Linked DNA regions of Caenorhabditis elegans. The protein of the gene in region 2 interacts with the protein of the main gene of each other region in a pairwise test. Each region holds a gene or a part of one and is shown on either strand. Other genes may lie near its edges.

Region 1 (5,946 bases), 3.1 Mb from region 2:
CAAAGGCGAGAACTTTCGGCTTTGCGTGGAACAAGGGCAAATCTTTTCGCTTTATTGTTGGAACACGGTTCGGGCCAATTCCTTTCACATCGTACCTGGAAATTTATAAATTTAGAATTTAAAAAAGAAGAAAAGGATGATTCCAACCATAATCCGACGAAGATCTTTTCATCGATGGAAACTCTCATGTGAAAAGGCACGTCGTATTCTCTGATATCAACAATTTGATTCAAGATGTCACCATTCAACTGTTGATCCTTACTATCTCCTCCTTTTCCACTCAGATTCCTCGCCAAATAGTCAGCGTACGCCGACTCTTTTTTGATGCGATCTGTGTTTTTCCGCACCAGCGGCATTAATTCCTTACGGATTTTTATCAATTCCACGGTGCTGGTGAATGAGAGTTTGATATATGTCTTCTTCAACCCAGAAAGATGATCTTTCAAATCTAAATCCTCCCGATCCATATGTTCAACTGCTGTCTGGGCTCCGTACTTCTTGGACAGATAACTGGATACTTGGAATTCAAATCCATCCAACGTGGCAATATAGAAATACGGTCGAAATGGGTAACTGATTTTGAAGCGTTCGTCCATATCACTGATGAAGAAATAGTCAACGACCGAAATAATAACTTTGGTTTGCTCGTCGACAAGCTCCGAAGGTTGGATGTTTATCAGAAATCCTTTTTTCTCCTGTAGTCCTGTGTATCTAGAGAAACCAAGCTTCGCATCAATCTCATCATTTGATCTGATCAGGGCAAGCCGCTCTTTGTAGTTTGAATCACTAAAAAAAGAAGATTTTATACTTTCTCCATTCTTGAAACAAACTTTTCGACCGCCTGTGCAAGAATGTCATCCTTGGAGCTCATTGAGCTTGCTGGCGATGACCGAACTTGTCTGAAAATACTGAAAATCAAATAACTAAAGAAAAAACTAGATAAAATGGCAAATTTAAGTTAATTTCATGGGAAATCGAGTTTAAAATGCAAGATTTCGCGCGCTCGGCCAGAGGACGAGTTGGGTGGAATTCTAGGCCACCAGATCATAAAATGGAGGGAAGGAGCAGAATTTGAATTTTAAAGCAATACAATTGAATTTCCGAGAGGCACCACGGAGGCACCACGTTTTCAAGATTTGTTCAAAAACAAGATCTACGAAAACAAGATCCACCAAAACAAAATCTACCTTTTCAAGATCTACCAAAACAAGATCTACGTTTTCAGGATCTGGCACCGTGCCAACTGCGGTTTTCTCTACGCGTGCGTACGCGTGTTGCGTAAATTCTAGAAGAAAATTTCAAAAAATATTCGTTTGAACGCTAAACAACACGCGAACGTAACATCGGAGCATCGTTGTTTCGTTTTCTTCGAGAAAACCGCAGTTGGCACGGTGCCAGATCCTGAAAACGTAGATCTTGTTTTGGTGGATCTTGTTTTCGTAGATCTTGTTTTTGAACAGATCTTGAAAACGTGGTGCCTCGCACCACGGTATCAAGATCTGGTAAAATTCCGGATCTCCGTTTTCCGGATCTACCATTTCCGGATCTACGTTTTCCGGATCTGGCCAACTCTTAAAACGCTATTTTTCTCGGAGAAAAACGTGACAACGATGCTCCGTTGTTAAGCGTCGCGTGTTGTTAAGCGTTTCTTCTAGAAGAAATTTTCAAAAAACAACGTGCGTCGAGTGAATAAAAAAGCGTTTTGTGGGTTGGCACGGTGCTAGATTCGGAAAACGTAGATCCGGAAATCGTATTTCCGGAAAACGTAGATCCGGAATTTCACCAGATCTTGAAACCGTGGTGCCTCATTTCCGACAATATTATTTAGCTGACATTAGACAATTATTAAATTCAAATAAATATTTTTATTCTGTTAAAAATTACAACAATCATCTTACAAATACATATTTTTCACAATCTAAACAACTTCAGTATCCTTGACTCCATATTTCTTCAGTTTCTCGTATGCTTTCTTATGAATAACCGCGTCATCAGAAGTCACAACTGGCATTTTGAATGATTGTTTGAATGCATCAAGTGCTTCGGCTTTTTGTCCTAGTTGTTCGTACACTTCGCCAATGTAGTAGGTATTCGTACTGTAGAATCCGGGCTGAAAATTTGAATTTAACTATAATGATCTGAATTTTTCGTGGCACTATTTACTTCCCAAGTGGAGGAAAATGTTCAAAGTGTAAAAAAATTTGGTCGACAACTTTTCATTTTTGTATGTTTTTGATTGACTATGAGAGATTCACTAAAAGTGTTTGAATTCTGATATTTTTTTACCGAAATCTGTTCAGCCTTTAGGAAATAGTGTAGAGCCTCCTGATATGTGGATGCTGGTGGAGTTGCGAAAATAGCTTTGGCCACCATTCGAGTCGCGTAACCCATATTGGCGAAGGAAAAGTGCCAGACTCCTGAAATTTGAGGTTTTCTTTTTAATTCTCGAAGCGAAATGCAGAAATATCTAAAAAAAATAATGGTTAAGCACCGCCCGCCCCCGTTGATTGAACGGTGAGCTGTAGAGCTTTAATTCGGAATAAACACGGGGTGTCAGAAAGTCTCATTGCGGTTTGATCTACAAAAAATGCGGGAATTTTTTCCCAGAAAATTTGTGACGTAAGCACACTGTTAACCATGCGAAATCAGTTGAGATGTCTACGTCTCACCTCCCGCATGTTTCGTAGATCAAAGCGAAAAGGGACCGTCTGACTCCACGTGAATAAATTCTAACATGATTTTTCTTTTTTTTTCTCTGTTCAATCCGGAATCCCTTACCCAAAATATGCCACGTTGTTGGATCGTTCTCGAAAATCGATAACGCCTTCTCTAAATGTTTCCGCACTTGGAATGATTTTTCGATTCTCGATTTGTTTCCCTCGATCTCTCCAACGTAATCCAGTAGAATGGCATACCTAAAGATAGCCATGTGGCATAGAAAATGCTAAAACTCAGCCGCCAAAAAAGGCAGGTGCTCAGTTTTCGATTTCCACCCTCAGTCATAGTTTTTTTTTCTCGCAAAATTGTGTTGTTCTACCCGGAATAAATAGCGTTTTAACTCCAAATCGTACCATTTATGTGCTCCAAAGCATCCATTCTTTGGCTCATTGTCAAGAGCTTTTTTCACAATTCCATAGGCTTCCAAAATGAGCTCTTTTCGTTGATTTTGATCTTTTGAGAGTTTTCCTTTCTCACAAACCACACGTGCCAGACGCCATAGAAGCTCGGAGCAATTGGAATTTTCAAATCTTAAAAATTGGAAAGAAAAGTTAAAATGGACATTTCTAAAAGTTAATTGAAAATTCACTTTTTCAAAATATTATAACAATTATCGATTAGATAATTATCATAAAGTTCATCCGAATTTCGAACAATTAAATCGAAATTTTTCGGTTTTCCATCAATTAATTGTCCATTTCCTGAGTCCAAATTCTTGTTCTCTTCAGTTTTTCCAAAAAATGCGATTCCAAGCGAGGTTCCACCAGTGATTGCAATTAATTTCGGAAGTTTTGGAGAAGATGTCGGGCGGCGAGAGAAATTCGAAATAAAACGGAGATTGAATACTCGTTTGAACATTTTTTTTCTTCAGAGGCTGCAAAAATTAGACAATTTTAAATAAATTATAAATATTGAAACAAAAATATATTATTAATTTCGATGGCCTTTTTCCAAGTACATAGGTAATTTTTCAAAAAACTCATACTCAAAGACGCATTCACTGAATTATTCCAACCCCCTAATTCCGAATATCTTTAAATTTTTTAAACTAAAAAAGCCTTAAATTTATCGTTTTTTTTTTCGAAAATTCGGATTTTCATCGAGTTGTGATTTGGATATAATAAAATGTTCAATTGACACGGAAAAAACAATTTTCCAAATAATAACCAAAAAAAAAGTTTTTGAAAAAACATGACAGATGGTGAAAAATCCCGTAAATCGACACAGCACGGTGCGCCCCAATGAGACTGCCTCTGGCGCGTTAAGTTTTGGGTGCGAGATTTCAAGCTGAAATATTAAATCCGAGAAGTTTTTTTTTAATTTCACAAAGATATTCGGAAAGAGTCATACGCCAAAACCTTTTTCGAACAAAATGAAAATTTGAAAATTAATTTTGAACACTCGAAAGGGAAAAATTTTGCGTTCAAACTGGTTCCAGGCAAGTTTTAGAAAAATTCTCGTAGGCTACTGAGAACGCTATAATGTTGTCAGCATTTCACAGTTCAAAGTACAAGTGGTGTAAAGGTAAACACTGATAAGTGATAATGAGAGAAGAGAGAAAAAGTTCGGCCAAGCTTTATGAAAATCGATTTGAAAAAAGGGGTAAAAACAATGCATTAGGGAGATTCTAACTTTTAAAAAAGACGTCTAAAAATTGTTTAAGAAAATGAGGAAAAATCATAAATTTTACACGTAAAAAAGATAAGGGGCGGGGGTTTTAATCGAAAAAAAAAAGTTAGAAAAAGTTTAATTCATTCACAAAAATTCTCTTTTTTTGCTTTCTCAACAGCGTGTCGACGCTGGATGAATTCGCGAAAATTCGCATTAAATTCTTTAAAACTCGGATAGCTTTTCAGTTGAGCACGAATCCATTTTGAGACACGAGCAGACGAGGCTCCGCCCACAAGATTTCCAGTTTGACGTTCTAGGCGTTCATCGATCATTAGCATTGCTCCCCAGTCGTTTTTGTGCCGGAGACATCTGAAGATTTAATGAATTTTAGATTGTAGTGAAATTTGGCCAGATGGTTTTTCTACTGATTCCCTTATTTCACGTGATATTATAGATTTGATATTACGGGAACACTAAATCCTGAGAATGCGTATTTTACAACATATTTGACTCGCAAAATATCTCGCAGCGAAAATTACAGTATTTCTTTAAAAGTAGCGCTTATGCCGATTTACGGGCTCGATTTTATTTTCGAATTTGGACAGTGATATTCAATTTTCCTTCGTTGTTCGTATTGTTTAGTCATTTTTGTACTTAAAAAAATTTTATTCATTAACCAACTGTTTTAATAGAAAAAAACGTGTAATATTGCCTTCATTTTGATGAGGAAACTCCTATTTACAAACGTATTTTTACATTATTTCCCGTCTATTGCAGGTTTTCCAGGTGAAACCCGGCAATAGACGGAAAATAATGTAAAAATACGATTGTATGAGTTTCCTATAAGGCAATATTGGACGTTTTTCATTTAAATATTTTTTTTTAACACAAAAATGACAAAACAATACAGAAAAAAAAAGACAAATTAAATACTGCTGTCAAAATTCGATTAGGAAATTCGAAAATCGAGCCCGTAAATCGACACAAGCACTACGGTAGTCATTTAAAGGATTACTGTAGTCTTCGCTACGAGATATTTTGTGCGTCAAAAATGTTGCGCAAATTTCAGAATTATGTGTTACAGTAGAAAATTGCTGTGTTTTGAACATTTGTAGCATAGCATAACATTTTTTAAATAAAAAAAACGTAGTTTTTATTCCACGCGGCTTTGTATATATATTCACCTTCCCAAAGCCTGATTCAATGCTCGATAGGCCTGCGTGGTATACCACTCATCGCCAGTCAAAATCCCCTTTTCCTTGGAATTCTGATCATTATACAACTTTTTCGCATTCACTTGATCATCCATCGCATTTGGATACGGAATTCCGACAGAAATCACCACACGCGCACGATCATCGGCAAAATCAATGCCCTCGGAAACTTTTCCACGAAAAACGGCAAACATAAGAGATCCGTTGATGTTTGCACCGAATCTAGACGGATCGAAGATCGCCGCATCGAATTGATCCATTACTGATGTTAATTCTGAGGATCTTCGCGGCTCGTAGAGCACAACTTTTTTCATTTCGATTTGTCGCATTGTTGAATTACGGATCATACATTGTTTTAATTGATCTAGAACTCGATAGCTGGGGAGAAAACATAGAATTCCTG
Region 2 (5,634 bases):
AATATGAGGGAAGCTAGCGAGAGCGCCTTAAACAAAATAAAATAACTTTCAGCTATGATCCAAAAAGTCGCAGCCTGCCCGATATGCCTATCCAAATTGTTCATAAAGTTCTGGATGATATGAAACCATTTGAAACGTCAGTCTTCAATGCTTACTTAATTTTTAAAAATAGTTAATACCCAAATTTTCAGATTTCCTATTCGTAATGTGTCTCGAAACTTGAGATCTATCATCGACAATCGCAATTCTGGCATCAAAAAAATCTCGATGAGCATGGGCTACGATCGATTGGAGTTGTACCATGATGACGATGACGAAGATTATCGATCGTATACGTGTCGGAAGAATAAAAAAATTCGCAATAAGGAATATATGAAGAAACCATTGGACGACGTGGCGATTCTATTGAAAAATCCGAATCTTAAGCTGGAAGAGTTCAAAGTGGAGGTCAATGATGAATTCACTGAAAGATTTGAAGTTGCTAACTGCTATGAGAATTTCAAGGAGACTTTCAAAGCTTCGGAGGCGGAAATTAGTGCTAAAAAATTCACGATTGACATGCTGGACCTGCAAGATATTACCCAAGTCGTTTCCCATTTTAAACCGGGAGATCTCGAAGAAATTGGCATTGATGAGCTCTCCAATAAGAAGGACGTGGAACAGTATTTATGATGATTATGTTGATGAAACAATGGATATGTACTTGGCTCTTTTTGAGCTGGAGCAGTGGAAGAAGATTAAGAAACTTCGAGTCTGGGATCACCGTTTTACTTTCCCAATTGAAAATCTCTTCCATTTGTCGGGTTTTGAGGTTAAAATGGAAGAATTCACGGTTGATGACGCCATCAAGATTAGAGATATACTTTAGAAAATTGATTATTTTCAATAAATCTGATTTTTTTTTCCAGATTCACATGAAATCCGATCACTTTCAATCCGCAATCATCAGATGCTCTACAATTAAGGCTTCTCAACTCGCGATGCTTTTCAATCATGAGCAATCAGACGAAGAACATGCTCCGTTCGTCTATGAAACCGAGACGTCACGCTTCAAAATTAGGCTCACCTTTGGCTATTTGGAAATTAAAAAAGAACAGTGATCTCGTGTTGTTTCCATTTTTTGAAATTCTGTTAAACATTGTTACTTGTTGATGAATTTGTTTTTTTTTTTCAGACTTTCTAAATTTAAAAATTAGTCGAGATTCATCAAAAATACAAGTTTTAAAGCAATATTCACAAAATAAAATAATCAGAAGCAATTTAGAAGTCGATTTGCATGACGACCGGAGCATGGTCGCTTCCCATCACCGAGCTCATGATATCACTGCGTTTGACCTGAAAAAAGAACATTAAAATTGAATTTTAATTTGGATTTTATCAAAATTCCAGTGGAAAAATTGAATTTCCACTTGGATTACGTCGAAATTTCAGTAAAATTCTAAATTTTTAAGTGGATTTCATGGAAATCTTCTGAAAAATTTCAATTCCCCGGTGGATTTTGTCTAAATTTTTTTGGAAAATCAAATTTTTATGGCAAATTCCATCAAAATTTCGGTATCCACCGGGATTTTACGGGAAAAAATCCCAGACATATTGCATTTTTTGCCCATTTTTTCAATTTTCCACAGCTTCCAGACGAGACCTTATTCATAATTCGATTGCTGACAACATAATAATCCAATCTCCATCCAACATCTTTCTGCCGAGAATTCGCCAGATAACTCCAAAATGAGTACTTCTTCTCGTCGGGATGCATGGCTCTGAAGGTGTCGGTGAATCCCAACTCGAGCATCTCACTGAACCATCCACGTTCTTGATCTGTGAATCCCGCGGTTTTATTTCGATTTGATTCTGGATTCTGAAAGGATCAGGGAGTTAATTTATAATTTTTAAAACAAATTTAATACAATATATTTACTTTCAGATCAATTTCATTATGTGCAACATTCAAATCACCCCCGTAGATCACTGGCTTCTTCTCGTCCATCTCCTTCATCTTCTCGGTCAGCAGCTTCTCCCAGCGTCCTCGTTTCTCCAAATTCACCAGCTTCGCGCCCGAATTTGGAACGTAAGCTCCGATAAAGTAAAACTTGGAGAACTCGGCGATGATCAGACGTCCGGCAGTGTCGAATTCTGGGTCACCGATTCCTTTGTGAACCTTCATCGGAGCACATTTGCTGAGCAGCCCGACTCCTGCGTAGCCACCGTTCTTCTCTGTGGAGACGACGAGGGTTTTGGTGTAGTTCTGGAAAAAAATTAGCTTTGAAAATCGCTTTTTCAGCCATTTTCTCGCATTTTTCTGCTAAAATTTCATTCAAAATATTTTTAAAAAGCACATAATATCCCTATTTAAATGGAAATCTGGTAGAATTTTGACTTTTAAATGTTATTTTTATGCAAATTTCTTTTGAATTGCGATTTTCTTTGTAGATTTCAGGAAAAATAGTGAATTTCCGCTTGGATTTAATGGAAATTTCTACGTTTTTTCGTTTAAAATGTGTTAATAAACATATTTTTGATGAAACCCGGCCGTAAAATATGCGAAAAATCTCTTTTCTTCCAGGAATTCCTTACCTTAAACGTCTCCTCCATCTCCGGGGGCCACTCCTTACACTTGGTCTCTCCTAGAAAAACGAGGTCAGGCTCCTCGGCGAGCACTTCCTTAAAATCACTTTTCTTCACACAAGCTCTGAGCCCTGCCACGTTCCAGCACACAAACTTCCAGCTTTTCTGATTATTGTCCTCTTCTGCCGGCTTCACCTTCTTTGTGAAGATCGAGGCGAGCTTTGGTGCTGGTGCTTCTTCTGCTTTTCGCTTCGACATTTTCAGCAACAGGTTAGTAGTCGAGTAGGCTCTTGAACGGAGCAGCTGGGGAAGAAGAAAGTTGAATCAGGTCGGCGGATGGAAGGATGACAAATAGAGAAACTTCCCCGAATGTTGAACAGATTAGTTAGAGAATAGTTGAAATTGAATTAAATAATTAAATCGATAGTTTCATTGGATTGTTATTAATAATGAGATCAGTGAAGAGCAAAAAAGTAACAAAAACCCGATATGAAGATCAACTTATTTGTTGGCGAGGTTGACGCGGAGTGGTCTTCCATTGAACTCGGCTCCATTCATCTGCTCGACGGCTCTCTGTGCGGATCCTTCCTCGGCGAACTCGATGAAGGCGAATCCACGTGGACGTCCGGTTTCGCGATCACAGACGATTCTGAAAGAGATATTGCGTTAGAAATCATGAAGCTCGGGCTGGCTGGGAGAGTTACCTGACGTTGTTGATTTGTCCGATGCTGCTGAAGAAGTTTCCAAGCTCCTCCTCGGTGGTCTGGAATGGAGCGTTTCCAACTAAAAAAAAGGAAAATTTTAATTGATTTAAATATTTCGCAACCAAATTTGAATCTAAACACTTAAAATTGCCTTTTCAAATGAAAATATTAGGGAAAACTTCGCGAATTCGATTTTTCCGAAAAATCCCAAAATTTCAGGACAATATCGAGTTTTATTGGCTATTTTAACCAGTTTCCGATTGTTTAATACTTAAAATAAATTATTAAAAAACTAACCGTAAACAGAGAAGATTCCAGACATGACGATTTTAGGCCGTAGCAGAAAATTTATGACGGTTTAATTTTTCCGCTCACCCTGCCTTGGAGAAAACGTGCGGCAGTTGCGTAAAAACCGTGCCAGGGTTGCGTTTTGGCCCCGCCCCTCGAATAGCATCGATTTCGACAGATTTTTTCCATTTCAAGCTGAAAATATGAGGAATTAGTCCAAAATAAGACCGCGAAGAGTGTTGAAACTTGAATTTTCAGTTGTAAGCTCACATTGGGCTGCGCATAGCCCAGGATTCAAAACTTGCTCGAACCGAAGCCGTTCCTTCAAGCTTCTAGCCTCAACGCTTGCCATCAGATTGACCCCAAATGAAGATTCGAAATAAAAAAATAGAGCATATATATTTATGATAACGATTTCATGGGTTTATTATTATTGAGATCATTAAAGATCAAACAAGTAACAAAGTACCGATATGAAAATTAGTTGTTTCTGTTTTGAGCCAAGTTGACGCGTAGAGCTCTTCCGTTGAAATCGACTCCGTTGAATTGGTCGACGGCTCTCTGGGCAGCGGCCTCCTCGGTGAACTCGACGAAGGCGAATCCACGTGGACGTCCGGTCTCGCGGTCGCAAACGATTCTGAAAATAGAGATTCATATTGAGAGTTAACGGGTCGTCGTTCAGGAGGTTTCGGGAAGAGGAGATTTCGGGGAGAGAAGCTTACCTGACGTTGCTGACGTTTCCAGCCTGGCTGAAGTAGTTGCCAAGGTCGTCCTCGGTAGTTTGGAATGGAGCGTTTCCGACTGAAAAATGCATTAAAATTATTAAAAACTCAAATTATCTCAGCCTAATCAAATACAATAAATAGAAAAACGCCTGGAGAAAAATAAAAATTTTAGGCCAGACTTTAAATTCGGCTTTTCTCGATTAAAATCTGCTTTTAAAGCTGAATATTCCAGTTTTCTACTTGAATAATTTACAATTAACAAAACTAACCGTAAACAGAGAATCCAGACATGACGATTTTAGGCCGGAGCGTAAATATGTGTGATTCGAATCGTTTTCGCTTGCCTCCTCCGACTCGTGGGAAACCGTGCGGCACTTGCGGTAAAAGTGTGCCAGCCTTGCGTTCGCGCTCCGCCCCCTTTAGTCATTTCAGCGTTAGCAAACGCTGCGTCTTTTATTCCTCATTCTCTGTCATTTTTCATAGCAATTGTTTCATTTTCTCACGTAATTTGTCGTTTTTTCGCTGAATTACAAGATTTTCATCGATTTTTGACCCTTTTACACTGTAATTTTGCCAAAAAAACGATTATTTTCTCTATGTTTCCGTATGCGCCGCCTATATCGCTGAAAATTATCGTATTTCTTAATTTTTCGCTTTCAGAATGTTCAATCTTCAAAAACGAATCAACGGCAACAACGAGGACGGTCGGTATCTTGAAACCCGCATCGCCGTCCGTGACAAGCTCCTAGCTCAGGGTATGTGGCTGCTTTATAAAAAATTTTGATTTTACAACATTTTCAGAACTCCAACAGCTGGAGACTGCTCTTCGCGATCAGAAGCAAAAGCTGTGGCATCTCGAGGTCCCATCAACATCGTGTCTTCATGAGTTGGAACTCACCGTGACACCTCAAGAAGGAATCTATCGTGGAGGCAAATTCCGATTCAAGATCACCGTCCCGCCAGAGTACAACAACGTGCCGCCCGTTGTTAAGTGCCTGACAAAGGTTTGGCATCCAAATATCAACGAGGACGGATCGATTTGTCTATCGATTTTGCGTCAAAACTCGTTGGATCAATACGGATGGCGTCCAACGCGTAACCTCACCGACGTCGTCCACGGACTCGTCTCACTGTTCAACGATCTTATGGACTTCAACGACGCGCTGAACATTCAAGCCGCCCAGATGTGGAGTCAGAATCGCGAATCGTTCAATCATCGTGTTCGGGAATACATTTCTAGATATTGCTAAGGACCAACGGATCGGATTACAAATGGCCTGTGAATTGACCCCCCCTATGAAATTGATTTTGATTCTAACTTTTCCCCCACCTCTCAGACTTTTTCTAACTGT

Evidence for each region. The genes of interacting proteins can lie anywhere in the genome.
Region 1: the proteins of exo-3 (region 2) and F33H2.6 interact in a two-hybrid assay, tested with the Caenorhabditis elegans proteins (2 studies listed by BioGRID).

What each region holds. Positions count from the first base shown.
Region 1 is NC_003279.8:15,013,004-15,018,949, forward strand, and holds F33H2.6 (Regulator of microtubule dynamics protein 1), read right to left. Parts: upstream 3,593-5,946; 5' UTR 3,577-3,592; coding exon 3,308-3,576; intron 3,249-3,307; coding exon 3,072-3,248; intron 2,916-3,071; coding exon 2,779-2,915; intron 2,418-2,778; coding exon 2,287-2,417; intron 2,111-2,286; coding exon 1,919-2,110; 3' UTR 1,851-1,918; downstream 1-1,850. Other genes in the region: pole-1 (DNA polymerase epsilon catalytic subunit), read right to left, coding at 1-95, 148-786, 831-871; dog-1 (Helicase ATP-binding domain-containing protein), read right to left, coding at 4,470-4,698, 5,514-5,946.
Region 2 is NC_003279.8:11,906,384-11,912,017, forward strand, and holds exo-3 (exodeoxyribonuclease III), read right to left. Parts: upstream 2,869-5,634; 5' UTR 2,824-2,868; coding exon 2,575-2,823; intron 2,246-2,574; coding exon 1,919-2,245; intron 1,859-1,918; coding exon 1,643-1,858; intron 1,336-1,642; coding exon 1,261-1,335; 3' UTR 1,188-1,260; downstream 1-1,187. Other genes in the region: rbm-3.1 (RRM domain-containing protein), read right to left, coding at 3,067-3,214, 3,270-3,348, 3,567-3,591; rbm-3.2 (RRM domain-containing protein), read right to left, coding at 4,038-4,194, 4,280-4,358, 4,552-4,573; NEDD8-conjugating enzyme ubc-12, read left to right, coding at 4,944-5,037, 5,084-5,532.